6 linked regions of the Daphnia pulex genome follow. The protein of the gene in region 4 purifies or fractionates together with the protein of the main gene of each other region. This does not show direct contact. Links are inferred from orthologs where the notes say so. Each region holds a gene or a part of one and is shown on either strand. Other genes may lie near its edges. The genes, in order: ubiquitin-conjugating enzyme E2 H-like; muskelin-like; serine protease HTRA2, mitochondrial-like; armadillo repeat-containing protein 8-like; zinc finger MYND domain-containing protein 19-like; E3 ubiquitin-protein transferase MAEA-like.

Region 1 (4,477 bases), on a different chromosome or scaffold from region 4:
AATGATATTCCAGCCTCTGTTCTGTGGATCTTTATTTTCGACAGTCGGTCCGCTGGCTATGACATCAAGTGGGTTGCCGATAACGTCAGAGAGAATTAGAGCCACGGTTGTAGCTGGGTATGAAAGCTGAGCTAGTTTCCCGCCCTTGATTCGAGATAGTTTCTTTCTTACTGAATTCAATTCCTGTATGTTTGCACCGCTCTTTGACAATAGTTGTATGGTTTTCTGCTTGTCATCCAGAGTGAGGTCATCTACTGGTGATGCCAGTAATGCAGATCCACCTCCTGTAAATAAAAGCATTAATTCTAGCAATGTTAAAATCTTTAGGAAATACGGAATAAGGAAATACCTGATATTAATACAAACAAAACATCACAGTCTTTCAAGTTTGAAACCATTTCTTCTATTTCTTTAGTTGCTTTTAAGGACTCTTCATCGGGAATGTTGTTGACCGCACCTTCATAGATGGTGTACCGTTTCAGAAACTGATCTGGCAGACTGTACTGTGACATCACTCCATGTGGTATTGAGATGATTCCTTTCATCGTGTGGTGCCCAATAATTGTGTCCATTTGGAGAGCCATTGCTAACACAGCCTTTCCAAATCCTATATATCCAAAAAGTGAACTCATAAATATTGTTTAGACACATTTCATACTAAAGTATACCGATCACATGGCAGTTGTTGTCAACTTCAATCTCCAATTCTTCCTTAATTGTAACTACATTTCCTAAACATCTGACTGCTTGATTTACAAGTTGACCAGGCTTCACGGCATCCACGGCAGCTTTGTAGATGAGTCTGATCTCATTCATGACGTTCACCATTCCCAGCCAACAATTCTTTCAAGTTAATGGCAATAAATGCTTAAAACGTGTAGCAAGCAAAAGCATTTTTTCACGAATCTTACGAGTTATTGTTGTGATTTGAACGTGTAATTCTTTATTTTTCCCCTACAGTTCGTTCGTCTGCTAATGACACGTTGAATTTGTTAAGGCAGACGAAATCAGCTGATGAGTTAATTTTAATTAGCCATCAATAAATTCGCTATCACGCAATACAATCAAGCTAAAACTTTGAGAGTAAAGCCATAGGAATCTTTGCTGTAAACATGCCTTCAGATAGCTCATTGTAACCATATCTTTTATGTAAATAAGCAATTGATACTGGGTCGGAAATGTAAACGTTGGACTCTCAGCCTGATCGTGATCACGTTCGACGACCTATTCAAACGATACAAATTCTCTCATTTTTAACCAGTTTTACTAGTCTATAGTGATTGGTCCTTTCTCCATTATACGACGGAGTTGTTTACGCGCAGAATCCTGACCTACATTTTCAATCCATCGTTTCAAAATACGCGCGCTACGGCCACACGACCAGGGCTGCGTTAAAAAACTAACACGAAACATGATTCTAAATGCATGAAAGTAATCGGAATAATCAAGGGAAAATATTAAACGTAATTTAGATTTGCAGAGTTATGCAACCACCTCCATTTTACTGCGATAAATAAAGGAGCGTAGGTTGCAAAACCCAATGTGGCGAGCCACAGCTGACTTGGTGGATTTTTTAGCCTTTCTGTCTTTGTTATGGTTATTCGTACAGTGCCAGTGGCGAAGGACAGGAGAGAGTGTGCTAAGCTCATCGTTTGTTTCATTTGCTCGCTGCGTAAATCTTTGGGTAGTACATAATTTCCAAGATTCTAAGCTTGTTTTTCTTCCGTTTTTAATCGACTGCATTTGTTGTTTTACTGTACAAAAGGCAATACCTTGAGAGACCAGTTTCCTCGTGCTGCTTATAAATAAAGGTGACGTCACACACAAGGCGAGAAGGGATTAGAATTTTTGGGACTAGCAGTCGGCCATTGTGTCCTCTCTTATTAGTTGTGGCGAAAATAATTTCACAAATCAATCGAGTCTAACCTGAAAAGAAGGGGACCTACTCTTATTTCGAGGGGGAAACCCAGACTGAAGTTTTCCGCGAGGTGGTCGATTTTGGAGTGCAAACAAAAATGTCCTCGCCCAGTGCTGGAAAACGTCGAATGGACACAGATGTCATTAAATTGTAAGTTATTATTTTAACAGAATCATATCTGGCCTTGAGTTTCACACATGTTTTGCTTCAAACTCTTTTGTTTGTGGATTATTGTTTTTGACAGTCTTTATTGTAATACCCGCTGTTTTTGTTTTCAGGATTGAAAGCAAATACGAGGTCACTATCCTTGGAGGACTTAATGAATTTGCTGTCAAGTTTTATGGTCCAAGAGGAAGTAAGTGATGAGAAATCATTCATGGTTGTTTTCAGGTCATTATTTCATTGAAAAATGTAGCACCGTATGAAGGAGGGATTTGGAAAGTCCGAGTTCACTTGCCAGAGCACTATCCGTTCAAATCACCATCTATTGGATTCATGAACAAGGTTTACCATCCAAACATTGACGAGGTCTCAGGAACAGTCTGTCTTGATGTCATCAACCAAGCTTGGACAGCTTTATATGGTATTTTGCATTAAATGTACTTAAATCTTTATGAATAATGAGACATTGTCTTTTCATCTGCAGATTTGTCCAATATCTTCGAGTCTTTTCTGCCACAGCTTCTCACATACCCAAATCCAATTGATCCACTGAATGGCGATGCAGCAGCCATGTATCTTCACAAACCCGAAGAGTACAAGAAAAAAGTGCAGGTACATTTTCAATGTCTGACATGTGTCAATCCGTATAGATCAATAGTAACACCTGACCTTTTCTATTGACAAGGACTATGTGAAAAAATTTGCAACTGAAGAGGCTTTAAGAGAGCAGGAAGCCCAAGAAGCCGCTCACCTGTCGTCAGATTCGGAATCTTCCATGTCGGACTTCAGTGAGGACGAAGCTCAGGACATGGAGTTATGAGACTTTTTCGTTGTTTTAACATGAAAAATTTCGTCGTTTATTACGTTTTCTCCCCCTCTTCTTCTATCTCTCATTGAAGTGGCTAACATTTTTTTTTCTTTTTTTCCATTCATTCATCGTTGAACGGAAGAAAGGTTTCATCGTACAAAATTTCATCCCGATAATGGGCTATATTATATTAATGATTGCGATAAATCACCCACCACCTCTGGCACCTCTCTCTCTCTCTCTTTGCTCGTTTGTTATGGAAACAAAACTTTGCATCCTAATTATTCTCGGGATGTTTCAAATCCTTTTGAAAAAATTTCTGTATTAGAAAAAAATAACAAAAATAATTGCCAAAACCAATTTTTTCCTCCCTCCGCTCTTTTCCCGATTTTTAAAAAGAAGCAGCAAAAATTTCATTTTCATTCAAAAAGTGGAGATGCCTTGGGCAGTCAGAGAATAAATGTTTTAGAGTGAGAGCCCCCCCTCTTTTTTCCATCACATAATTCATCTTTTTGTTTGACATCTTTCGTGTGGATTTAGCATCGCTCATCAACTCATTTTGATCTTCCCCCCCCAAAAAAAACACTTTTTAAAAAAGACAATAATATCAACGTATATGCGCGGCGTGTGTGTGTATTTGTGTGTCGAGATGTCAAAAGTATCGTAGCGGAGCTTCACAGGCTCGGTAGCAATTTGACAAGATGTTTAGGTTCTTTTTGTTTTGGTTCTCTCGTCACTTGACAGGAGAATCGAATAGATTTTTCTTTTCTTGTAGCTTAATTCGTACTTTTGTTTCACCTTTAACTATTTTTGACCGTGCGTTTATTAGAGAAGATTCGATTGTTTCTTTTTTTCACGAATGTAACAGCACCGCGGAATATGCGGACCACAAAAAATCGATTTTTTGTTTTAGTTGGAAATGAAACCAAGCGATTTTAAGAAATTTGTATGTCGGGATGGAATACTTGGTTTTTCAAAGAAAAATAAAATCTCTAAAAAAATAAATAAATAAATAATTCTTTGTCAATTTTTTGTTTGTTTGTTTCAAAGGTGACATTTTATAGTGCAACCTTAAAACCAAACAAATCTCTCAATCAAAAGAAAACTTTCACTTTGAATGATATCGGCCACAGGTGTTCCAACAAATGAACCCGACCGGAACGTTTGTTTGGTGGGGGAAGAAATGTGTGTCTCGTTGACGGCCAACCCCAAAGATAAACGCACCTGTTTATATTGTGATTCTGGCCGACTGTTTTGCGTAGGCTGTATAAGCAGTCAACACGAAGGAAAATCTTTTTATTGCCTGCTGTCGCTAACCACACACATACACATAAATAAAAAATAAAAAATAAGATTTCTAAAATATGTTTTTTCGACGTTGTTATCATCGGGACAGAGTCACGCGCGCGTGCTGTTGACGGATTTTTCCAAAGAAGTGGTAGCGATTCAATAGGTAATTCACTCAATGGAGGGAGTGCACGATAACCGGTTATTTTAGAGATAAATCTCCAATCTGTATAGAAGAACTAGTTTCTTATCGTTTTAAATAAAAAACATTGTCTAGAAAATTGTGCCGAAACGTTTGAAGT
Region 2 (4,611 bases), on a different chromosome or scaffold from region 4:
ATATTAGCAATTTAACCGCTTGAGAGTCAACCTTTACGGTTTCGGGGTTGCCTGGATGGTTGGGGGCTTCTGTCCATCGTATAATTCCGGTTCTAATTACTTTCTTTTTCGGATTAATCATTCTTGCACGCCTTACAAGACTAGTTTCGGTTGCAGACAAGTTGGCGCAAATTGTTTGAAGCGGGATTCGGACTTCAAAACTTGATTCACTGCTATGGCCTCTTGCTTTGGCCAAAAACTCTTTCAACCTCAAACCCTTTGGAAGAGCTAGAAAGTGACCGAATTGCACAGTGATCGAGGATCCTTGCTTTGCTCCATGCCTCCACGAACAGTCGTGATTTATCAGAGCGAAATCAACTAGAAGAGAGGAACTTGATGGACGATTCCAAGTTGTTAGATGAATTGTTACATTGCTGAGTGTCCGTGTCCGTGCCAATGCCTGCAAAGATGAGATCACTTGATCACCAATCCCTCGATGATAAAGGTAGATATTGTCGACTCCAAGTAGCGAGTAGTAATGTATGAAATCGGCAAGATCATCTATGTGCCAATAGGGATCATTCGATAATACACAAAGAGATGTTGCGTGATCTTTAGGATGCGTCGGGCCAAGATGCAGCGGAACTTTAAGCGGTTGTAAAGACGATTTACTGTCGTAAAGGGAGAAGAGGTGAGAATTGCCGATCATTTCTGGAACATTGCAGACAACCGAATATGCCACGTAGTCGTTATCTGTTTCGATTTGTTTCCATTCAATAGTTCCTTCAAATTTGTCATCATTGACATCTCCAGATATCAAAGCACACACAGTGTTTTTCATTGAAAAAGAAGAATTTCGTTTCACAACTGCCACACTGTTTAAACTCCATCCTTTTTCGTTTGCAACCTTGAAGGCTGCATAAACTTGCACTTCTGAATATTTGTGCCAGAAATCAGGAATGAATTCAACAGATCCATTAGAACAGATTCCCTGAAGTTCATATGTTTGGGGACCATCTGTTACTGTTGAGCCAAAAACATTCAAGACTTCCAAGACATTTCTCAGCCTGTCATACTCGTGTTTGTAAATAACAAAACACACCAAACTGACAACCGATAAGATGAAAAGAATTAGTTGGTAATATTTCCTCATGATTCTCCCTCCTGAAATAAAATCAAAACTAAGTTAAGTACTTGTCAAAAAATGGCAAACATGGCAACAAATTCAACACATAAAGGGTGCCTTTAAAACTAATTGACAATAAAATAAATGCAGACAATATCAGACTAAACCAAACATAACCGTTTTTACCTGAGGAACGTGCTTCTTGCATTAAAAATGAAAAGCTAACGCGTTAATTAGGTCATGATAAGTTATCTAAGCAGATTCCGGTTAACAACTTCAAATCTAACTAGGGTAATAAACGTTTGAAAACGTCACGAGTAGCACAAGAAAATTCCGGTGAACAGTTTATACTGCTACAGCATACGCGGAACGCAGCGCAGCACACGTAAAAACTCAGCTGATGCGACGCTCATCTTCCTTCAATTGTTTTTTTCCACAAATGTTTCCCACTTTTCCCAGAGTAGAACTTACCATTCCTTTGGGAGCTTTTTTTGTTGTGAAAACGAATCTCAATTTTTCCCAACTGAAAATTGAAACATCACTTTCAAATTTTTACAATGGCAGAAGCTGGACTTGAAATGAAGAAACTTAATTATTCGGTTGACAGTTGCTCCAGTTTTTCCGCTACCTATTTCCCGGAGTAAGTTGCATTAAAAGACCTTGAGACTGCTACTCTGGCGCATGTTAAAATATGTTTACCAATATTAATTATTTGTATATTTTTTTTTAAATAGGAATATCATGAAAGATTTCCCAACAGATCAGGCATCTAGGTGGTCTTCCGATTCAAACATACCCCCACAGGTTTATATTATCTTAAGCATATAATTTGAACAGATGTTGTAGATAATATTTCTTTTTAGTTCATACTTCTTAAATTGGAGAGGGCATCACTTATTGAAAGCATCACCTTTGGAAAATATGAAAAGACTCATGTATGCAACCTTAAAAAGTTCTGTATATATGGGGGGCTCCATCCAGAGAACTTGGTTGAGTTACTTAACAGGTATAAAATCAAATATTGTACATGATTTACCCTTACAACTAAGCCCAACCATTTTTCTTGCAGTGGTCTAAAGAATGACAATCAACCAGAAACATTTTCTCTGAAACATCTAGTTGAAGGGAAAATGTTCCCCTGTCGTTTTGTTAAAATTGTTCCTGTTCAATCATGGGGACCCAGTTTCAACTTCTCCATTTGGTATGTTGAGTTGGTGGGTACTCAAGACTGGGAAGCAGTTAAACCATGTATTCAATGGTACAATGCTTACCGGGAAAGAGAGGCAATAAGATTGTGCCTGAAACATCTCAGGCAAAATCAGTGTCTTGAGGCATTTGAATGTTTGCAGAAAAGAACCAAAGTTCAGCTTGAAGATCCTTTACTCAGTGAACTGCATTGGGTATGCATAAGAAGTCCCTCTCTTTCGGATATCCGTTGAATATTGACTTTTCGTAGGCCATGGTGGTTAAAGGCGATTACGAAGCGACCGAACAGTTACTTCATCGAGCCGTCGACAATGGTTTATTCGGTCCGTACATCCATTCTCAAGACTATGTACCAGAGTGGTCAAGAATTCTTCCGTGTATCGACGAGGATCCTTGCCATCGTCCTGGTATGAGAGGCGGCCATCAGATGTGCATCGATGTAACTATAATAGAAACTAAATTTTAAAATAGTTAACGAACGTTAATATCAAATGTCTTGTTTACTCGACAGACCAACACAGAGACCATATATCTATTTGGTGGTTGGGATGGTGTCCAGGACTTGAATGATTTATGGTCTTATTCAGTACCAAGTAATTCATGGACGCTGCTGAGCAATAATACTGAAGAAGAAGGTGGGCCTAGTGCCAGATCTTGTCACAAAATGTGTCTAGATCAGGATCATCGCCAGCTGTTTTGTTTGGGGCGCTACCTTGACAGTCAACACCGACACACCAATAATCTGAAGAGTGACTTTTACATGTATGACATTGAACAAAGAAAGTGGCACCTGATTTGTGAGGACACTGCTGCCGTTGGCGGCCCTAAGCTGATATTCGATCATCAAATGTGCCTAGATCCTGAGAAGAGAACCATCTACGTTTTTGGAGGAAGAATACTCAGCCCAGCGCCCGGCTACCCTGAAGAACGAGGATTGGCAGTAGCTAGTAGTAGTGGCATGGCCGGAGCTTTTCTGTCAGAACCTCAGTTTTCCGGACTCTATGCTTATCACATACCAACGAGCACATGGCGCTTATTACGAGACGATCCATCAGGCTCACCAGGATTAGGTCCCATCGAAATGCGGTCTCGAATTGGCCACTCGATGTTATTTCATCCGAGCGAACGCAAGTTATTCATCTTTGCGGGTCAACGAAGTACGTTTTAAATATCTCTATCAATTCTCGTTCACACTGTTAAACTATTTAAAACATTTGCTCCGCACGACAGGCAAAGAATATTTGAATGACTTTTTTACCTATAACGTGGATACGGGTGAAGTGACGACTGTGACAGACGGAACAAGACGAAGAGACCCGGCCCAAATTCCAGCTGCCGGTTTCACACAACGTGCCACCATCGACCATGAGCTCAACGAGATCTATATCCTTTCTGGCCTAAGTAAAGACAAGGACAAGCGGGACGACAACGTCAAAAATTCCTTCTGGGTTTACAATATTGTTGATAACAAATGGTATGATACTCATCTTGTTTTGAAAAGGATTTTGTCATGAGAAGATTATGTTTGCAGGACGTGTGTCTATCGAAACGATAGTTCACGTGAGAAGGAGTCGGACACGAGTAATAGAGTCCCAGGCGAGGAGCCATGCCCGAGATTTGCCCACCAACTGGTTTACGACCATGTCAAAAAGGTCTGTATCAAATGTCGCAGTCAATTGGAAGTTCCATTTACTCATGCGAGACATCAATTGACTGTTTTCACAGGCCCATTACTTGTTTGGAGGGAACCCTGGGCGTTCTAACGATCCCAAGATGCGCCTTGACGATTTTTGGTCACTTCGATTGTGTCGTCCAAGTCAAGGCCAATTGCTGACGCGCTGTCAATTTCTGATACGCAAATGCCAGTTTCGCGAGCTGACTGAGGCTGATCCTATACGGGCTATGTTTTATCTACAGAACAATTTGTCAGCTGTTGTGGATCGTACCAATGACGAACAAATGGCCGAATTCCACCAATTGACCAATCTTCTCTTCCGCACCGAAGAACAACAGGAAGAAGATGAATTGTTAAACGGCAAAGTCGATGCCGAATCGACAGTTAATAGCTCCTATAGACTTCGATCGAGTGTTTTCGACGCATTAGCTCGTTTTTTTCCAGACTACATGGCTCAACCGAGATTCAGTCTCACCGACTTTGTCGCGTTTGATAAGGCTTGATCACTAAGATCAAATGCCTTCTCAAATGGAACCGCAGCTTAACATTTCAATAACCCTTGCCCGAAACGTGTTCAGATCCCAGGTCTTCACTCATCTATACATCATGTGCAAAATCTCTTTTT
Region 3 (4,655 bases), on a different chromosome or scaffold from region 4:
ATTAAAAATCCACCCGACAAGCTATAACATGGCGGGATAGGACGAGTGTCCCGTCCTCTAGCTTAAGTAGTCCATGGCCTGCCCTGTCCCGTAGCTGTAAGCGCCACGGCGGGTGTGTGGGGAAATAGGGTATAGGAATAGTATAGGAATGGAGGGAAAAGTGGAGGAGTAGTAAGAGTCGAGATCGATATCTTAGCTCCGATTTTCACTATCGATTGCTAAAATTGGCTTCAACCCAGAGCTATGATGATGGTAGAACCACTGCCTGTAAAATTTTCCTCTCGGAAATTTTTCCTAAAGTTGCAGCCAATATCGCGAATCGAAAGTGGGAAAATGAGCTCAAGTATCGATTTAGACCTAATTGTCAGCGCCAACAGCGGCCATCTACTGAAACTTTGTTAATTTTTTGCTTGCTTGACAGGAAAACGATGACAACACTCGTGGTGGGAATTGTTGTATTTAATAAGACAAAATCATAGACTAAGTTTAAGTATGAATAACTAAATAAAAAGTCCTATTAACACCATAATTCAACGATCAATTCTTATACGCTAGGATGTTCTTTATTTTTTAATAAAAATAGAAAAAACTTAGGTCCTATAGTTTATAAGTTATCGTCACTTTACTTAGGGACTATCGGGCATAAGAGCCCGTGTTAAACCTTTTTGGCGGCACTGTAAATTTTTAAAAATGTAACAACTTCTAAATTATACAACTAGAATGCCGTTCGACAGAAAACATTCATATTTGGTGATATGATGTAGCCTATCACAAGGTATCATTTCATGACTTTCTTTTATTTTTAATATTTTAAATTCTGTATTTAATTTATAGTTAAATGAAATTTTTTATTTAAATTCAATATTTTTAATAGTAAATATAATTATTTCTTCGGAGGGTTTTGAACAAGTATTTATTACCTTGATAGTAATAAAGTTCATTAAAAAAATCAATTCTTGCAGTTTGTTCTAGGTTAAAATATAACTTTACTCCACTATGGTTATACATCTATAACTCTGCTTCAACCCCAGAGAAAATTTCCGAGAGGAGTTAACATGGCAGTGGCGCTAGTTACCAGTATTCTATAGCTCTGACCAGAGCTCTGCCATAGATAAAGAAGACTGGTTTCGCATGTCCTATCCTTTTAGCCCTATCCCTACTGACCCCGAGTTTCTGTTTTGCTTGTCCTGCCCCTAGCGGATAAACTGCTGTACTGCACCGTGGCTACCAAGGGTGTTGCAGACGAAAGTTGTTTTCCTTCTGTCTTGGTAAAATTCTTTGCTGGCGTTTAAAAGTTCTAGGTAATTTTTTCATACAAATTTTTACTTAAAAGTCATTTTGTATTAAATTTTGACGTTTGCCAATTGCAAAAGTAGAGAAATCAATTGAATGATTGCAATGGAATAGATGTAAGCAGAGTGTAGAGAACAAAACGTACACTAGAGGGCAGGACAAGCAAAACAGAATCGGGAAAATCGGAGGAAGGGTAGCAAGAATTCTGGCGACAGTTGGCCATGTTAATTTTCTTATGGACAGCATCAACCAGTGGTCTTTGTCTATGGCTCTGCTCTGACCGTATTTTGGGATGAACAAAATTAAGAGTGGCAACCCTGCCTTGAACCATAACAGTAGCTACAATTCATAAACAGTACAAATGTCTTCGATTTATCGTATGATAAAAAAACTTACTTTTATAAACCGAAAGTTTGCCGTCCTTCGTTATAATTCCCTTAAAAGTCGAAATGAATTTTTGCAGAAATACTGTTGGTGTAATATATCGTGGAAGTTAGCAGGAGTTGCCTTAGGAGCTTTCCTGTTCGAGTTCCATTTACACAATAATAAGTTGTTTGCCACTTCTAAAAGTTTGGATTCATTTCATAATAACTTATTTTATTATTTGGGTCATTATCCATTTTCATTTGATTATTGGATTTTAAGGTGGTGAACTTAATGATGAAAGTCCAAGAAAAAAGTGTAATTTCATTGCTGATGTTGTTGAAAAAGTGGCTCCTGGAGTTGTTTTTATTGAAATCAAATCAAATTTAAGGTTTCATGCAGTTATTAAAATCTAATTTTCTTTTGAATCACATTCAACCAACTTAATACTCACATTAAACAAAATTTAAATTTCACATTATGTTTTGCAGGAATTCTTTTTACAATTTTAGTGCTCCACAGCAGACTGTGTCTCATGGGTCAGGTTTTATTATTGAAGGTGATGGATTAATTGTAACAAATGCACATGTTGTCCTTGGACAACCAAATAGTTCGGTACAGGTAAATCATTATGGATGAAATGATAGAGTAAATACTGTATAAAATTGATGGTGAAGTATTAAACACAATGAGTAGGCAAGGAAAAAATTATGCCCTCAATAATATGGAAATTTGTATCTTTAGGTTAAGCTTCATGATGGAAGAATGTTCCAAGGGATTATTGAAAATATTGACACAGTAACTGATCTTGCTACTGTGAGAATTCAATGTGTAAGAAAAACAGCAGCATCTGTTAAAGATGATTATCTCACAAAAATAACATCTTATTGGTTCCTGTAGAAAGGATTACCAACTCTGAAGCTTGGTTCCTCATCTACTGTCAGACCAGGAGAATGGGTAGTTGCAGTTGGCAGTCCTTTATCTCTAACAAACACCATCACTGCTGGAGTGGTATCCTCTATTAATAGGTAAATAAAATAGTGTAGCCTATGTTTAAAAAGCTAAAAGGTATAGCCTATAATTCTGTAAATCTCTTTCTAGGGGAAGCTCAGAGCTTGGATTAAATAAAGGAAAAGAAATGGAATATATTCAGACTGATGCATCAATCACTGTAAATTTAGCAATAGTCATTGTTCTTGTATTTTTAAAAACACAATAACATATGGTCTTATTTTCAGTTTGGTAATTCGGGGGGCCCACTCATTAATCTCGACGGAGAAGTAGTTGGTGTCAACGCTATGAAAGTTACTGCAGGCATTTCTTTCGCAATTCCCATCGATCATGTAAAAGATTTTCTCTCCATTCTCAAGAATTGTTCTTCAAATAAAGGAGTAGAAAAAGGTATTATTCTTTATTAATTTTATGTGTTACAAAGATATTTATATCCAAGATCCTCAGTGTTGTATGTGATTATGTTTTTCCATATATTTTTGTTGTTGCTGTTAGAAAATACTGAGAAGGAGTTTAAACGTCGTTATATGGGTGTTACATTGTTGACTCTTACTACCGAACTGATAACCGAACTACAATTGAGGGGTACTGAACTTCCACCTAATGTAAAACATGGTGTGTTGGTATGGAAAGTTGTTCTTGGAAGTCCGGCACATTGGTAAGACTACGCTAAAATTGTATTGTTTTTTTTTCAAAGATGGATTGATATAAAGATTTTAATATAGGGGAGGACTTCAGCCAGGTGATGTCGTTGTGTCGATAAACGATAAACCTACGATAAATTCTCAGGATATTTACAAAAATCTTGAAGAAAATGAAAGTCAAATTAAAATATCAGTCATCAGGAAACGAGAAATGATTAATTTCCTTATTTCCTTGGAAGATTGATCAAATTAATCTTTTCTGTTTGATTTGTCATGCAAAGAATAAAATTTTAAAATCAACATGAATTTCAATTCTTTTGTATACTTGCAGCTCCAAGAGTTTTTAGTCTGATTTGAGCTTTTGAGGTAGTGATTGTGGAAAAAATTTTGCCCCGCAAGAAGTTTGAATAATCGAATAAGCATTTTTGGCGGGCACATAGTCATACAAGCACTCAGAGCCATCTACTGTTAACAAAATAACTAAATATTGGCGGTGGAATGGAGGTTGTTTGCAGACGGCTCAGTTTGAAATCTCCGGCGTGAAGTCTCCCAGTTTACTAGTTTGCCTCATGAGATTATCTGTTTAATGTTTGTATCAATTGCACTGCTTTTCAATACAAGAGAAACCATCTCTTTGTGTGACAAGAAAGATGAACAATGATGTGAATAATGAGAAGAATTCTGACAAAGCAGGGTCTGAAAAGAAGTTCATCCAAATTTCTCCTGAGTCCATTCAGCTCATTGCTGATTCAGCTGGGTATCCAAATGTACCATCAATTCTTTCAAAAAGTCTTGCTGAAGATACTTCGTATAGATTGAGGGAATTAATACAGGTATAGATATTTTTCTTCTTTTATCATAACTTATCAATTTCAATTGATTGAATGCTTCTTAGAGCTGCAGTCAGATTTTACGTCACAGCAAACGATCTAAACTAACCAAGGATGATGTTAACCTTGCCCTTCGTTGGAGTGATGTTCCACAAGTTCATGGACCCAATTCTACTCCAGAGGATTTTTTGTATTTACCAGAGTTTGATATTTACAGTTCTTTAGACAGAGTAGTGGAACTCACACAGGAATATCCCATTGAAACAGATGTAGAAGTTTACTCTCCTATGAAATTGACAATCCAGTATCTTGCTTTAGATTCTGAAGACAAACTACAACCAGAGATTTATTTTCAATACTTTGAGAAAATTTCTCAGTCTTTACTTAGCACTTCAGAATATGTTGTTAAGGTGAACAGCAGATTGTGTTCTTACAGGTTTACTTAATGGTATGCTTTATCAACTGAAATTTGTATCAAACTGTAGGTGGCTTTGGCCAACTTGCGTGAGAATCC
Region 4 (4,971 bases):
TATATCTCTCCCTCCTCCTCGGCTTGAGAAGAGAGAGATGATAAATCTAAAAAAAAAAAAAAAAAAGAAACCAACCCCACATCTGCCAGGAGGAGCTGCTCCCGCGCGCGCAGCCGCGACTCGACCCACACACACACATCCATCGTCTCGGGGCGGAAGGGATTTTTTCTTCTTCATCTCCTTTTTCATTTCGGGCAATGTCTTACAGCACCCGGCGCGTGTAGTATCGATCACCTCCTCCTCGGCTCCTAACCCAGCAGCAGCAGCATCGAAATGCCATACGCTAAAAGCTAATTAGGATCCCCGCGTAATTGGATATATCTCCTTCTTTTTCCTATGTAATAATGGCGCGCCGATGGAAGGGCGGAGGACAAAAGAAGATTCCGGCTTTTATCTTGTATCTTTCTTTTTTTTTCGCCAACCGATTATTTCAGATTATAATAAGACATATATTATTATTATTAGAATTATAATAATGATGATAATAAAGTTATCTTATGAGACATAAACAGTTGCCGGATTCCGAGTATTTCCAAATTATGTAAAATACACAAATATTTGATAGGGGCGTGGTGTAGGAGACTTCCGATTTGTTTAGGAGAACTGCTGCAGTGCCGCTTTGACCCTGTTAAAGACAAGGAAACGTTATTATGCAACGTCAAGGTCAATGAAATTCTACGTTTTACTTTTCGAAGAGTGTGGCGTCGTTGGTGCAGAGGAGTTGCTGCAAAATTCGATAAACGCCCAATTCCCTCAGACGCGCCTGACGTTCGAGGCAGCCGTTGTCTTCGTTCCACGCCAAATTGCCGATGCAAAACGTGGCGGCCGTCTGCAGTTTGACATTCGAATGCGACTGGAAGAAAATAGAATTGACGTATTAAACTTGGGAGGCGATGGATGGATTTAAAAATATTAGATACCATGTAATTGGTGAGTTTGCGCAGGACGTCCTCATTGGACATGATGAATTCCTTGGCCGTTTCACCGTCAGCGATATTGGCCAGAATGCACAGGGCCTGTTCCTTGACGTCGGGGCTGTGCTCGCCCTCCAATATCAGAATGACGGCCTGCATGATCTGACGACCGTGCTGGGCCATAATCAAATCAATATGCGGCTTTGTCGATAACAAATTCCTCAATAAGCCAAGCGTTTTCATGACGACGCCAACTTCGTGGTCAGAGAGGAGCCGGAAGACTTGGTCCGTGCCCAGCGACGACAAGATTTGAATCTTGATTTTCTGCTCGGCCTGGAACGCCATGTTCTATATAATATAAGACGGGGGTCAATTGAATCAATTTTGTTGTCTTTGGACTCGATGAACAAATACCATCAGGGCCCAAATGCCGTTGAGTCTCAGAGCGGAATCTTCTCTACGCGTCAAATTGCATAAAAGTTCCACGGCACCAGACTCGAGGATGGGCTCCTTGGACGGCGAGAATTCCAACAGCAAATTGCACAGCGTCGACGACGCCACGGCCAAAATGTCTTCGTCCGCATTCTGCAATAACTTCATCAGCGGCTTCCACACTGAATGATCCTAATTGAATTGAACGTCACCTTGTTACAGACCTTGGCTCAAATTTGTTTGGGGGGGTGATTGAATTACTTGAAAAGTTGTTCGTAGTTGCTGGACAGATCGAGACAGAGAATGAAGGCACCGGACGGCAGCCAACTGGACTCTGTGATCCCCACATTCCGTCAATCCCGTCACCACGTGATCCATCAACTGGTCCGTCTCAATGATCCTTTTACGGATGTCTTCGTCATTGGCGCCCAACGATGCAAATGCCTTTTGACAAGGAATCATATTAAGTATCTCTTTCTCGTTTGAATGGAATTGAATGAATTACCCGGAGAGCGGCTTGTTTCAGATTTTGAACTTCTTTGGCGCTGGCAGGAGCGTCTTCGTCAATCGACTCGACTCCAAGTTGCTGCACCGACGAGTTATCTCGAGTTTTAGCCAAAAATAGCGAAAGATTTTGAATGAGGTGGTCGGAAATGGAGGCCACTCTTTGCAGTTCCGTGTCAACTTCTATCAGATAGGCCAGTGTTTCCGCACCAAGAGCCTTTTCCGTTCGCCTGTTCTCTTTCCGGCACATCCGCACCAGACAAGGCAATGTCTTGTACAAGATCTTGCCATCGTCAGCACAGATCGCTCCAGCTCGATGTAGATAGGTCAGACAGCGGGCTGCTACAAGCTGCATGGCCACCGGCCTGTCACGGGCCATCAAAGTCACCAAGTGGTCCGTCACGGATTTGCCGCCGAAGCTGGAGACAGTCAGAAGGGCCGAAACGCGTTGGTTCTGATAGCACAGGGAAGCGATAGCGTCCAAAGTGGCTAACTGAACATCGCCTACAGGAGAATTGAGCAAAGCGGCCAGGGCTGGAACGGCTCCGTTGGCGCAGAGAATCGCTTGGTGTTCAGACGTCTAGGTTCAAAAAAGTTGAAATGTATCAATCTTTCAGGCATTATTGACATTGTACTATCCACCTTGCAGGCATTGGTAAAGATGGAAGTGACAGATATTTGGTTGCAAACTGACAGTGGCATGAGTTTCAACAGCTGGGGCACCAATCTTGAATCTGCAAACAGGAGGTCAGTCTTTGTCGCTTCGTTCTGAAATAACTGTTGCAGGGCTCTGAGGGCAAATTCAATAACTTGAGGATTTGTTGATGCGCAGACATCTGTCACATGAAAAAGAAAAGTTTCAGATTTTAGTTTCAAATTAGCTACAAAGGAAATCACGTTACTGTTTAGTAGGAAAGGAATAACTCCCGCTGCTGTTAGGGATTTAATGTGGTTTTCATCTCCTCGTGCAAGGGATCCAATCACTGCTATCACTAAAAATCAACAAAGAAAACCGATTGAATCTATTGTTGTGACACCCTATTTCTGAATGTGATATTTACCCTCCAATTTGAGATCATCACCACCAATAGGATCGTCGAGTAACTGAATCAATCTTGGAGTAATACCCTGTTGAATGATCATATTCTTGGCCTTGTTGGAACCGATAATCATGTTTTTGATGTATCTATGAAAAAACAACTGTTGGATTATCACTTTCCTTTCTTGGAATACAAATACAAAAATATTTACATGACAGCATCTAGGCATTTTGCACTGTCTACATCGTAAAGGTTGTCAACGTACGAGTTACAGCTCTCAACGTCCTAAAATGACCAAATAATTGATAAAAATAACCAGAATGGAAAAATGTCCCGAATTCTTTACCATGATTGAATGAATTAGTTTAGTCATTTTTCTTCCCAAATGAAAATGCGTCTCTGTTCGAAAATGGCTCAAGCCGGATTGTCTGCTAGCAGACGCTACTAGTACATAGTGCAACTTTTTCACTTTAGATGGCGTTGTAAAATTGAAAAGGGCGCCAGTTTTCGTTTTTCATAAAAATCAGCTGCAGGGCAAGAGTTTTCACTTTTCCCGCGCCCGCAAAAATGGGGAGGGGGTAAGTAACAAAAGGCGGTCGCCATGTCAACTGAACCCCAGTAGCCAGTTTCGTTATTCTATTTCACTTGCATTCATTCGCCATTTCGCTTGCAAACGAGAACGTTGGTTCGAACTCCTCCACGAGACTTTTTTCCTTTATAATTTTGTCTTTGCCAAGGTAATTGATTGTTCAACGTTAATTTACACTGTCATTTGAGTAGAGGGTTAATATTTGTACTTGCCAATTGAATTGTGAATCCTTGTTTAAACTTCCTTTGTTGGAATTGATCGTGACGAGGACCACGCCTGAATTCATGACGTAATCTTTTTATTGATCTTAATCGATTAGGTGTCTACAGCTATGTCTAGCCCTATTGATCAAGAAGGTATGTAGGATTTCATTGGTCAATCTTTTGTGGTTTAGAGTTGCCTAACTCTTGGTATTATGGTGCTTGCAGTTGCTGCTATTCGTGGGGAAGAGAAATCCAAGGGAGGATTGAGTTATGAGGTAAAGTCTTGCCACATGTTCACTGAAACATAACTTCATGGTTCATTGTCAACTAGGTTATCTTAGCAGAACCAGTAAGCGATCGCCCCCCTTCACCACTCACTGTTTCAACACCAACTCGTCCTCAGCCCTCTGAAGAAGAGATTGAGAGGAAGCTATTGGCGGCCAAGGAAAGGCGTGAGGTTGGTCAAAGAAGCAAATTAACTCGTCACAGTTACTTAGGGGTGTTTTGTGATTTCTCCAGGCTAATAGGTCCATCAATGATGTGGATGAGAAAATCAACCAAGCTGTGCAAAAGAGGCAAGAGATTGTCTCAACTTTTGTCACCAAAACCAAAGAAAATTTAGATGCGAAGATGGAGGAATCTCAGGAGAAGAGAGAGGCTCACTTGAACTCTCTCAAGACCAAGTTGAAGGAGCATGTAAGTGTATTTCATTGTAAAGATAAGTTATCTGGTAAACTTATTCATCGTGCCTAGTTGGAACGAGTGGAAACAGTCAGGGTGACTAACGATACCAAGCTTCAAGAGATCCAAAAGCAAATTGACGAGAAGCTGAAATCAGCTGATGAGAAGCGTGACGAAATCATCAAACAACTTCAAGAGAAGCTACGCCTTCACGTAATAATGTCTTTAATTATTCGCATGGAAACTAGAAATTAATTTAAATTAATTTATTGCAGGAAGAACATATCAAGTCTGTCAAACAGAGCAGTGAAGAAAAGACCAAAGCCATGGAGGAGCAAATCCATTCCAAGATTCAACTGGCGGCTGAAAAACGCGAAGAGATTGAAAAGGAGATGCTGGAGAAGCTCAAGGAACAGGTAATTTGTTATTTTTGTTCATTCCTAATGTAAAAGATGCCGTTAACAATAATTGTGTGCGGTTGTAGGATCGTCGCGGTGAACTTGCTCGCCAAAAGAAGGAAAATCGTCTGTCTGGTGGGGGCCAATGTGATGAAGGAGAGACTGCCTCATCCGGCTAACATTCCGATGAACTTGCCCATAGAATCGCGA
Region 5 (4,777 bases), on a different chromosome or scaffold from region 4:
CTACGGGATTTCCTCCTTATCCTCCTCCTCCCCCCCATTTGAAGTTCCCGGAGAATCCAGCGGGAGAGGAGGAGGAGGAGGAAACGAGTTGAAAAGGGCGGCGACGGTGGACATTTTTTCTTTCTGTCTCTCTCATCCCGCGTCTGTGTGTCCTCTCCCATCAAACGGAGCGAGCAAAAGGCGCGGACGGAGAGAGGAGCCAAGTGTCTGGCTCCCGAAGAGAACCCGCACCACTACATTCACAACCGATCAATACTTTCATGTTTGGGTGGGGTAGGAAGGATGGGGGGGGGGACTCGTCCTTGTATGATCCGAGATCATTCAATGGGACCAGCCCCTGAGAAGTCAAGGCCCAGGCCAGGCCTGGGCCGCCACTTCATCCGCAGTCTATATTCCTCTGACTGGACTAGTCTGTTCTTCTCTTGCCCAGCAGCTTGTCTCTCTCTTAGTGTTTTTTTGTTTTTGTGTGTCAGACTTGACTACTTAGTGTGTAGAGTTAATCTAGTTAGACACACAGACTCTCTCTTTCTCTCTAATCTCTCTAAACTCTTGTGTTGCCAATGACGCCCGGATTATCATTAAGTTGTCGCCTAAATTAGATAAAGAATCAAGGCGCACACATATAATGCACACACACACATTAAGGGGATATCAAGATTGGCCTTATCATCGTAAAAAAATAAAAATGAAAAACTAGACGGTCTTTTGTTCTCGATTCATTGCGCGTCCGTCGGGGGGGAATTTTTTATAAATTAAAAAACACACACACAAAGAAGAAACGCCGTGATGAAACAACAACAACAACAACAACAACACGAGCTTTTTCTCAGGCAGATATTCTTCGAGTTGATGTTGAAAAAGTCGTGACTGTGTGTCTTTCCTCTCTCTCAGTCCAGAGAGTTGATTGCTTTTCATCATGTTTATTCTGATTCTATACGTAACCCAAACCCTTCAATCGTGTAATACGCAAATAAGTCATCTGCCTCTTCTTCTTCTTCTTTTTCTTCATTCCCCCGCTTGAATGTTTGGAAATAACAAACGGGTTTGAGCCCTCCGGGGCATCAATCTGTTTGTGTGTGTGCGACTCGGGTCTATACTACACCATGGCAGTTGCTACTTATTTCTTCTTTTTTTCTCGAGTAGACGATGACAACAAACAATAACGAAATTGTAACCAGAGCTTCTTGCTTGGGTTCCTTCCGGAGCTTCCGGCACTTCCGGCGTTTGTTCATTCCCTCTTTTTTTTTTTTCGAGTAAAGTAGAAAGTTCATTGTTCGGACTGTTTTTTTTTTGTGGTGTGAACCGCAGACTATACTACCAAGGCTAAACCAACTTTTATTTCATTTTTAGGAAAAAAATAACAGATGAAATATACCACCACCACCACCAGGTGATGAGCGGACGCCGGCTGACCACTGAAGGGTTTCCCTCTTTTTAAACAACTTTTAAACAACAGTAGTGGTGGCAACATCCTATGTGTACTAATTCCTTACAGAGGGGTGGTTGGGAGGAGAACATGACAGCTCTCAAATAAAAATAAAAAAAAGTAAGTTAGACTCCCTTTTTCCGGAATTGAAAAAAAAAGTGATATTCACATTTTCGGACGGAAAAACATAATCAAACTTCCGCTCCATTTAGTTTTTTTTTTACTGTAATAAAAAAAAACTTTGTTCATTTCAGGGGAAACAAAAAAAACACAGCAGGGATTGATGAGCCATTGCAAATGGACACGCATTCGACAACTATTCCAGTAAAGCTTCGCTTCTATTCTCAACTTACACATATTTTTTCAAGATCGAAATTTTCCCACAGTGAAACAAAAAGTTCCCGAGTGAAAACAAAAAGAGTGGAAAAAAACCACAGAGAAATTTTTTGGTTTTTTTTTCTCCCCCGAAACCGCAAAATGTCCGGTTTCACGGCCGCGCCGAGTCATCGCTTTGACTTTGAGAAAAAGAGAAAAAAAAAACAAAAATTTTGAAAAAAGATTTCCGAGTTCGTTGTCGCGGTGAGGAGACAAAATCCGGTCTTGTATATCTTATATTTGAAAACAGCCCCACAATAAGTTCTTATTGGCGGTTGCCATAGTTCCACGTTAAAAAAAAAGGAAAAAAAAAGAGACTGTTTGTTTGAGAGACGGCCTTATCGATGACTCGTAGCGACACACACAAAGTCCAAAACGAAATTTGTTCTCTTCGAGTTCTCTTATCACTTTTGGTTATTTTCTTCTTCGTCTGTATATTTACTTTGACCTTTTTTTCTAGCTCTCTCAGTTGAACTTGGCATCATTCAACCCAACCGCTTGTGTTTGACGTCAGTGTACCGACTGTGCCGCCGTCGTCCATGAAACTATCGCAAACACGAGTCTCTGTTTGGGCTCTTGTTGTTGTGTAACTACACCTACAGTATACCATAGGCTCTCTTTTTATCTTATCCCAACCGAGTGATTTCCCGTAGTCGATCCATAGTCATTTTTCTATTAAATTTTCTGCCTGGTGGAGGGGCAGGAACTCAAATGTATTGATCCTTCCTTCATCTGTGATATAGGATAGGGTCCTCCTCCTCTTTTCATAATATACAACCGACGTGGGGATAAACCGTTTGCCCAGAAAGATTGACATTTGCAATCCAACGCAGTGTCAATCTCAGTTTTTTTTTCTCCAAACATTTTTTCAAGATGAAGAGTAGCAAAAAAAAAAAAATATTTTTCAATTGAATTTCTTAAACGGACTGAGATAGAGAAGGACGGCTGAGTGACAGATGAATGCCGAGAGGGAAAGGATTGAAAGGGGCCAACAGGCTAGTTGATCAAATAGTCAAAAAGAGATTTGAGAATACTGTTTGTGTTAAGAAATAAAATAGTATAAAAAAGAAAAAAACGAACCTTTCCAGCTGCCCGGCCGAGTCGGACAATGCCCAGTTTCAAACCGGAGACTTGTGAGGATGTTGAAGACGACGAGGACGAGGCTCCACTGGCGTTGGATGCGGGTAAGATTTTCATCTTTGAAAATGTGTCTCGACTCTCTCACACTGCTGGCAAAGGGAATTTTGTTCACTTTTGACACTGGCAACAAAACGAATGGCAAGAATTGTCGATGACAGTTCCATACACATCCAACGTATGGAAGATGCACACAGAACGATATATCTACGTATATACCAAAAGTTAACCAAAATCTAATCACATCGGCAAAACTAAATTATTTTTGGGGGTGGAATTATCTTTTTTTTTTGCACAAATCCAAATTTCTTCGTACACCACCCCACTTGCAGTAAATATAATGGACCGTGGCTAATGTCGAACCGGTCTAGTTGAGCTGTGGCCGACGACTGAATTTTCAGATGCGCTCGTCTGCTAGTAAGTAGAGACTCTCCGAGCGCGCGCACTTGAGTTTGATTTTTCTGCTGGTAGGGGGGCGAGAGAGCTCTGTGCACAAAGGAATAATGTGACTCTCTTATAGTTAGCCCTACACTATTTCACCATAGCCGGTTTTGTTGGTCTCTCTCTGTGTTGTCTGCACTGCTATAGCAGAACGGCTCACGATTCTCAGCTGTCGCCGACTCGCTCCACGACTCTCATGCACAGCCAAAAGGACCCGTTGCTTTTTTTTTTGTATGTGCGTGTGTGTGTTTGAAGAGAGATAGAGCATGCGGGTTGTTGGCTTTAGCAACTTCTTCCGTTGTGTGTGACACGGGCGACCGGATCGCTGACTGCTGTTCCCTCAGGCAATGTTAATGTACGTTATACTTCTTCTTCTTTTTTTCTTCTCCGGCTGTGTGTACGTGTTTCCCGTCTGTGTTGTATATATACGTCCCGTTAACAGTTTTTTTTCTTCTCTTCTCTTTTCTCTAGAGAGAGTAGAGAGCATGATTAAAAGGAATGGCTGAAAATTATCATAGAAAACCAGTGTTCGTTTTCAGTCGAACGGGCGTCAGCAGCACACGACCTCGTCACGATCAAGAAATAAAAACAAATAACAAAACTCACACCGGACTTTTTTTTTCTTTTTTTAAAATAAAATATAAAAAAAAAGTTGATGGAACAACAACCGCATCACCGGTTCGAAAAATATAAAAACGTCTTATCAGTTTTTTTAATCTGCTTTTTTTTAATAACCCGGGTAATAGCTTCAGAATAAACGAGTTCTGTCTTTTACTATTTTTTTGTGTGTGTGTTCTCGTGACTTTTTTCTTTTTTGAAGTTGTGGACTACATTATTTATGCAGGATTAGTTTCGATTTAATCCAATTTGGCAACCACCACGTTTTCACGTCGTCATGACGACGACGAGAAAACAATTCGAAAAGGCCGACAGAGTGCGACCGGGTAGTTTTACGCGCCTCTTTGTCGACTTGTTTTGTTTGTTGTGTGAATTATGGTGTGCAAGTGCAGGTTCCCGCCCAATTAATATTCTTGGCTCAATACACCTGTGGTGGTGGAGATTTTAATAACGTTTTTATCTGGAATCGATTCTTATTCTTGGTCTTTTGATTGTATTTCTCGTGGTTGTGAACTTGGGGTGTGATTCTCTAAGTGATGACAATCTAGTGAAGCCAAGACTTAAAAAACCCAACAACAAACAAAGCATTTTAACTTTTCCTCTACAGTTTCCGGGAAGACCCATTCAATGGTATTTCCAAATTATAAGTTGATCCTAAAGTTGATGCAATAATGTTTTCTTGTGTTGCTCAGGGATCATGCCTCGTCGGTTGGAAATCCGTACCACCATTCTGGGGAAAAAATCAGACGAGAGAAGCAGAAGGAAAGATGCCAATGCTAA
Region 6 (4,244 bases), on a different chromosome or scaffold from region 4:
AGGAGGTGGGGGGTGAAAAGAAGGAGGAGGAGGTTGGCTAAAGGCAGGACACGTGTGCTGTGATCACAAAAGAAAAGCCTTGGGCTATATCGAATGCGCACGAAACACGGGAAAATTTTGGAGCGGGTAAATATTTTTGCTGGATTTTGTTGTCCGAAGCTAAATTTAAAAATCTCTACCGTGTAATCTAGCGTTTTCTGGAATAGTTTTATTTTTTTTTTCTCAAAAAAGTTTGGATTTCTAACATAAAGTTTCTTGGTCGTATCACACAATGTACAGCGAATTATTATTTAATAAAGAGAAAAAAAATCTAAAGGAAAAAAATGAGAAAAAGGTATTATAGAAGAAATATCTGATAAGAATAAGGAATGAAAAAGTGAATAGTATATGAATTTGGCTGTCCGTCGCCACCATCATCGTTTCTATTCTTCAGCTTCTGTCAGACGCGCCGGGGTAGGGGAAAACTATTGTAGAAGTTTTATTTTTTCCTGGCGAATATCCAAGGACAACCGGGACTGGACTGATGCGACGACCGCTATACGGCACACGTAAATTGGTCACAGACACTAAATCGCCAAATCTTTGTTTCCTAGAAAACTCCCTGTTGCCTACCTTTAATTAACAAGTATTTTAGCATATCGGATAGCTTGAATGTTGTAGAATTTTAATTAGTCATTCCATTCTCAGTAATGTTTAAGGTTAATGCTCTAGACGTACTTTTGTTACTTAGCATGACCAAAATGCCGTCCAAGTGCTAAGCATACGGTATGAAAATGGTCGATTTTCAACTAGCGACATCTAGGAAGAGAAACAAAAATACATAAAGACCACAGTCTGCTATGCTATATACTAGGCGTATCCGAGACCGGTCCTCTTCGTCTCTTTGTAAAGTCCGGTTGTCCTTGGATATTCGCCAGGAAACGAAATAATAAAGGGGAAAACTTTTTCTTGATAGTTTACTATTCCTTTCTCCTTCTCGGCGCGTCTGACAAGAGAATAGAGATGATGACGGCGCCGATGGACAATCAATTTATTTCTTATTAACCGTCTTATCATCCTTGTTATTTATCGCACGAAAAATATACTTCTTTGATAAGACCAATCTGAATTCTTTTGTTCTTCTTCATTGCGGTTGCATCCAACTGTAATGGAATTCCAACCGATGAGATCAACAGAGATAAAAGCATCGAGTATAACAAAGTTTGCAGATGGACAAGTATAGGACCAACACAGAGTAAAGCAAAGTTTGTGAAACTTTCGTTTCAATCACTTGTGCTTTGCATTATTCAGTAACAATGATACAATTTGATACGGATCTACAAAGTGGTGTAAATTAACCGTAAGCTTTGGAAATGGTGGTCGCGGTTAGATTTTTTTAAACCAGACACCCTCCGGCGCACAACGGACGCTTTCGTTGAGATCATAACCGGCTTCCCAACTTTTCGAGAGAAAACGCTAGGGTACGGGACGTGTCTACATTCAGAACTTTAAGTTCGAGACGGACAACGAAATCAACCGTGAATATTTCCACCCAGTCCAAATATCTCTGCTGTACGGTTCGGCTTCGTATACTATGACGTAAGAAAACAAATATTTATTACCGCTAGATGACACGGTTTGGTGTTACTTTGCTCACCAGTAGATGGCGTTATTTATCGACTATTTACTTTTCTCTTTCTTCTCATCCAACCCTCTCCCCCCAAAGTTCTTGTAATCTTCTTCAACTTTCATCACATTAGGCAGTATTTTGAAGAGCTTGCCATTTTCCTTTAGTCATGGCTGATTTAAAGTCGTTGGAACATCCAACGCTCAAGGTGATGAATCTTTCAGTTTTTCAAAATATTTATTTCATTAACAAGGATCGGTTGTCTTACGTTGGGTTCTCTTTTGTTCACCACCCGCAGGTCCCATACGAAGTCTTGAATAAAAAATTCCGTGCAGGGCAGAAAACTGTTGACAGGGAAGTGTCACATGTACAAAATTCAATCACTGAGTTGGAAAAAAGCTTGTTTCGAACACCTGTCCAAGTAGACCAAATATGCAGTCTGCTTGGAGCTACTGTTGACAAACTACAGACAATGAAACGAAAGGTTCCAACTTGGCATCCCTTTACACCAATATTTAAATAATTAATAATTATTTAATAATTTTACTCACATGGAATGTGTGATGTAGGTTGAAGAAGCCATCAGTGATGAGCTGGATGCTGCTCAGAACTGCAAAAGAAGGGTGGAACACCTCAAATTGGGAGCTGTTGGTATTATTCCAACTACTGATTCTTCCATCACATACTCACTCTGGAAAAAAACTCGAGTAGAAAGGTACCTTGTTGAACATCTACTGAGAGCTGGTCATTACAACACTGGTAAATATCCTTAGGATACCAACATCTTCCTTATAATCAGTTTCTTTTTGAACAGCTCAGAAAATGGTTGAGCAGAATCCAGAATTGGCAGAGCTTACTAACTTGGACATTTTCTTGGTTGCACGAAATGTTGAATTGACCCTGGCCCAGCAACAGACTCAAGCTGCTTTGGCCTGGATTCACGATCACAAAAGCAAACTGAGGAAAATTAAATCTACCCTGGAATTTCATCTCCGACAACAAGAATTTGTCGAACTCATCAGGTCTGATCGCCGAATGGACGCTGTACGGCACGCCCGGAAGTACTTGACCAACATGGACGATGTGCCCTGGGAGGAACTTCAACACGCTCTCGCCCTCCTTGCGTTCCCTTCTGACACTCGTGAGTTCTAGAAAAATGTAACCGGATATATTTAAGGATACTAATTCGTGTACGCATTTCAGAGGTATCACCATACAAGGAGTTGCTCGATACGTCAAGGTGGAATGCTTTGACTGAAGAATTCCGTCAAGACTATTTCCGCCTCTACCAGTTGGCTCCATTGTCTGTGTTGGCTGTTGCGTTGCAAGCTGGACTCTCCGCAATGAAAACTCCGTAAGTTTTAACGCCATTTCCAATTTTTCACTTTAATCGATTGAATTTTTACAGGCAATGTTATCGCCCAATGGATCAGAGGAATGCTGAATGTCCCGTGTGCCAAGAACCATTGAACAAGTTGGCTGAACGATTACCTCACGCTCATTGCTCACAATCAAGATTGATCTGCCGCCTTTCGGGCTTACCTCTCAACGAACATAACTTACCTATGATGCTACCCAACGGCCGTGTGTACGGAGAGCAGGTATTTATTTCAGGTTTCGTGCACCAGTCCAACCCTATTATGTTTGTTTTAAATCGACAGGCCTTGCGGACTATGGCATCGAGCAACAATGGAATGGTCACATGTCCTCGCACCAAGGAAGTCTTCGCTGTCAAAGATGCAGAGAAAGTCTATGTTATGTAGCTTGTTTTTGGCCCTACCTTCCAATACAAAATTCTTGAGCATTATTTTCGTGCACGGACAGTTTTTATTGATGATGCGAGGACTTTGAAAGACGGGTTTTTAATACGCGTTCTTGACGATCATTCTAAACTAGTTTTCAGCAATTCAATCAACTATTCGGCAAATTATAGACTGCATACACATTAGGTGGTTCATTCAATCCAAGTGTAAGTGCTCCTGAAGTTGATCTTCGTAGCGTGGACCGGCGGCTTCGTCGACAGAAGAATTCAGTTGCGACCAAAGAGTCTGGTGGCACATGGGACAACGATCTTGCACATACAACCTGTGAATTAAAAAACCATTACGAAATCGTGTCAGTGATAATTTCATACCGAGAATTACCATTTGCGGAGGCAGACGGCGTGAAAGTAATGTCGGCACGGAGTAACAACTACTTTGACCGTCACCTAATAAAATAATTGAATGTGTTATAGGCCATTGTCAATCTTATTTGGCGGCGAAATTTGACTTACATTATTAGGGCCACTTGGCTTTAGGTCATGAAAGCAAATTGCGCAAACGTCATCCAGTTTGTCCAATTCGTTAACTGTCTCGAGGGTGGCGATTTTATGAACGGCTGTCCGACGCCGAGTGAAAATCTTCCAACCGACTCGTGCTTCACACCACAAATTGAAATAAGCGTGCAAACCCACCAGCACGGCACGAATGGCTCCACCATTTTCGTAAATCAAAATGAAGGCAGAATTGCAGAGTAGAAATAAACCGACGAGGAACTCTAATACTCGACCGGCAAATCTGAAATCAACAAAACGATTTGGGTTAGTTACCACGCTTCTTTTGTATAAATAAAGCAAAACCAGAAGCTAAAAACAATT

What was found.
Region 1: the proteins of armadillo repeat-containing protein 8-like (region 4) and ubiquitin-conjugating enzyme E2 H-like purify together in Homo sapiens (affinity purification with mass spectrometry; 3 studies listed by BioGRID and IntAct, with this or other methods). This does not show direct contact. The link is inferred for Daphnia pulex from reciprocal best matches to the Homo sapiens genes ARMC8 and UBE2H.
Region 2: the proteins of armadillo repeat-containing protein 8-like (region 4) and muskelin-like purify together in Homo sapiens (affinity purification with mass spectrometry; 4 studies listed by BioGRID and IntAct, with this or other methods). This does not show direct contact. The link is inferred for Daphnia pulex from reciprocal best matches to the Homo sapiens genes ARMC8 and MKLN1.
Region 3: the proteins of armadillo repeat-containing protein 8-like (region 4) and serine protease HTRA2, mitochondrial-like purify together in Homo sapiens (affinity purification with mass spectrometry; 5 studies listed by BioGRID and IntAct, with this or other methods). This does not show direct contact. The link is inferred for Daphnia pulex from reciprocal best matches to the Homo sapiens genes ARMC8 and HTRA2.
Region 5: the proteins of armadillo repeat-containing protein 8-like (region 4) and zinc finger MYND domain-containing protein 19-like purify together in Homo sapiens (affinity purification with mass spectrometry; 4 studies listed by BioGRID and IntAct, with this or other methods). This does not show direct contact. The link is inferred for Daphnia pulex from reciprocal best matches to the Homo sapiens genes ARMC8 and ZMYND19.
Region 6: the proteins of armadillo repeat-containing protein 8-like (region 4) and E3 ubiquitin-protein transferase MAEA-like purify together in Homo sapiens (affinity purification with mass spectrometry; 5 studies listed by BioGRID and IntAct, with this or other methods). This does not show direct contact. The link is inferred for Daphnia pulex from reciprocal best matches to the Homo sapiens genes ARMC8 and MAEA.

Annotation. Positions count from the first base shown.
Region 1 is NC_060019.1:1,500,960-1,505,436, reverse strand, and holds ubiquitin-conjugating enzyme E2 H-like, read left to right. Parts: upstream 1-1,556; 5' UTR 1,557-1,684; intron 1,685-1,765; 5' UTR 1,766-2,015; coding exon 2,016-2,068; intron 2,069-2,196; coding exon 2,197-2,273; intron 2,274-2,333; coding exon 2,334-2,501; intron 2,502-2,564; coding exon 2,565-2,692; intron 2,693-2,765; coding exon 2,766-2,900; 3' UTR 2,901-3,460; downstream 3,461-4,477. Other genes in the region: glycerate kinase-like, read right to left, coding at 1-284, 350-607, 669-828. UniProt on the Homo sapiens protein: Accepts ubiquitin from the E1 complex and catalyzes its covalent attachment to other proteins. E2 ubiquitin conjugating enzyme that transfers ubiquitin to MAEA, a core component of the CTLH E3 ubiquitin-protein ligase complex.
Region 2 is NC_060028.1:9,649,469-9,654,079, forward strand, and holds the start of muskelin-like, read left to right. Parts: upstream 1-1,497; 5' UTR 1,498-1,662; coding exon 1,663-1,745; intron 1,746-1,839; coding exon 1,840-1,909; intron 1,910-1,968; coding exon 1,969-2,111; intron 2,112-2,174; coding exon 2,175-2,505; intron 2,506-2,561; coding exon 2,562-2,750; intron 2,751-2,822; coding exon 2,823-3,468; intron 3,469-3,541; coding exon 3,542-3,785; intron 3,786-3,842; coding exon 3,843-3,963; intron 3,964-4,036; coding exon 4,037-4,489; 3' UTR 4,490-4,611. Other genes in the region: uncharacterized protein LOC124208606, read right to left, coding at 1-1,143, 1,292-1,313. UniProt on the Homo sapiens protein: Component of the CTLH E3 ubiquitin-protein ligase complex that selectively accepts ubiquitin from UBE2H and mediates ubiquitination and subsequent proteasomal degradation of the transcription factor HBP1.
Region 3 is NC_060026.1:11,305,036-11,309,690, reverse strand, and holds serine protease HTRA2, mitochondrial-like, read left to right. Parts: upstream 1-1,602; 5' UTR 1,603-1,654; coding exon 1,655-1,862; intron 1,863-1,938; coding exon 1,939-2,047; intron 2,048-2,147; coding exon 2,148-2,277; intron 2,278-2,400; coding exon 2,401-2,487; intron 2,488-2,556; coding exon 2,557-2,684; intron 2,685-2,757; coding exon 2,758-2,827; intron 2,828-2,894; coding exon 2,895-3,057; intron 3,058-3,162; coding exon 3,163-3,325; intron 3,326-3,392; coding exon 3,393-3,555; 3' UTR 3,556-3,611; downstream 3,612-4,655. Other genes in the region: TAF6-like RNA polymerase II p300/CBP-associated factor-associated factor 65 kDa subunit 6L, read left to right, coding at 3,962-4,144, 4,207-4,551, 4,627-4,655.
Region 4 is NC_060025.1:9,364,427-9,369,397, forward strand, and holds armadillo repeat-containing protein 8-like, read right to left. Parts: upstream 3,362-4,971; 5' UTR 3,264-3,361; coding exon 3,237-3,263; intron 3,176-3,236; coding exon 3,102-3,175; intron 3,037-3,101; coding exon 2,912-3,036; intron 2,843-2,911; coding exon 2,753-2,842; intron 2,687-2,752; coding exon 2,493-2,686; intron 2,431-2,492; coding exon 1,852-2,430; intron 1,791-1,851; coding exon 1,608-1,790; intron 1,539-1,607; coding exon 1,329-1,538; intron 1,263-1,328; coding exon 921-1,262; intron 854-920; coding exon 687-853; intron 626-686; coding exon 595-625; 3' UTR 429-594; downstream 1-428. Other genes in the region: uncharacterized protein LOC124203012, read right to left, coding at 76-143; stathmin-4-like, read left to right, coding at 3,811-3,835, 3,908-3,957, 4,014-4,139, 4,202-4,378, 4,436-4,576, 4,639-4,779, 4,848-4,940. UniProt on the Homo sapiens protein: Component of the CTLH E3 ubiquitin-protein ligase complex that selectively accepts ubiquitin from UBE2H and mediates ubiquitination and subsequent proteasomal degradation of the transcription factor HBP1.
Region 5 is NC_060023.1:10,669,493-10,674,269, reverse strand, and holds the start of zinc finger MYND domain-containing protein 19-like, read right to left. Parts: upstream 3,014-4,777; 5' UTR 2,999-3,013; coding exon 2,882-2,998; intron 1-2,881. Other genes in the region: serine/arginine repetitive matrix protein 2-like, read left to right, coding at 4,695-4,777. UniProt on the Homo sapiens protein: May be involved as a regulatory molecule in GPR24/MCH-R1 signaling.
Region 6 is NC_060017.1:5,614,023-5,618,266, reverse strand, and holds E3 ubiquitin-protein transferase MAEA-like, read left to right. Parts: upstream 1-1,655; 5' UTR 1,656-1,775; coding exon 1,776-1,814; intron 1,815-1,904; coding exon 1,905-2,090; intron 2,091-2,175; coding exon 2,176-2,365; intron 2,366-2,420; coding exon 2,421-2,747; intron 2,748-2,809; coding exon 2,810-2,960; intron 2,961-3,014; coding exon 3,015-3,207; intron 3,208-3,267; coding exon 3,268-3,369; 3' UTR 3,370-3,413; downstream 3,414-4,244. Other genes in the region: protein TRC8 homolog, read right to left, coding at 3,565-3,691, 3,751-3,815, 3,882-4,164.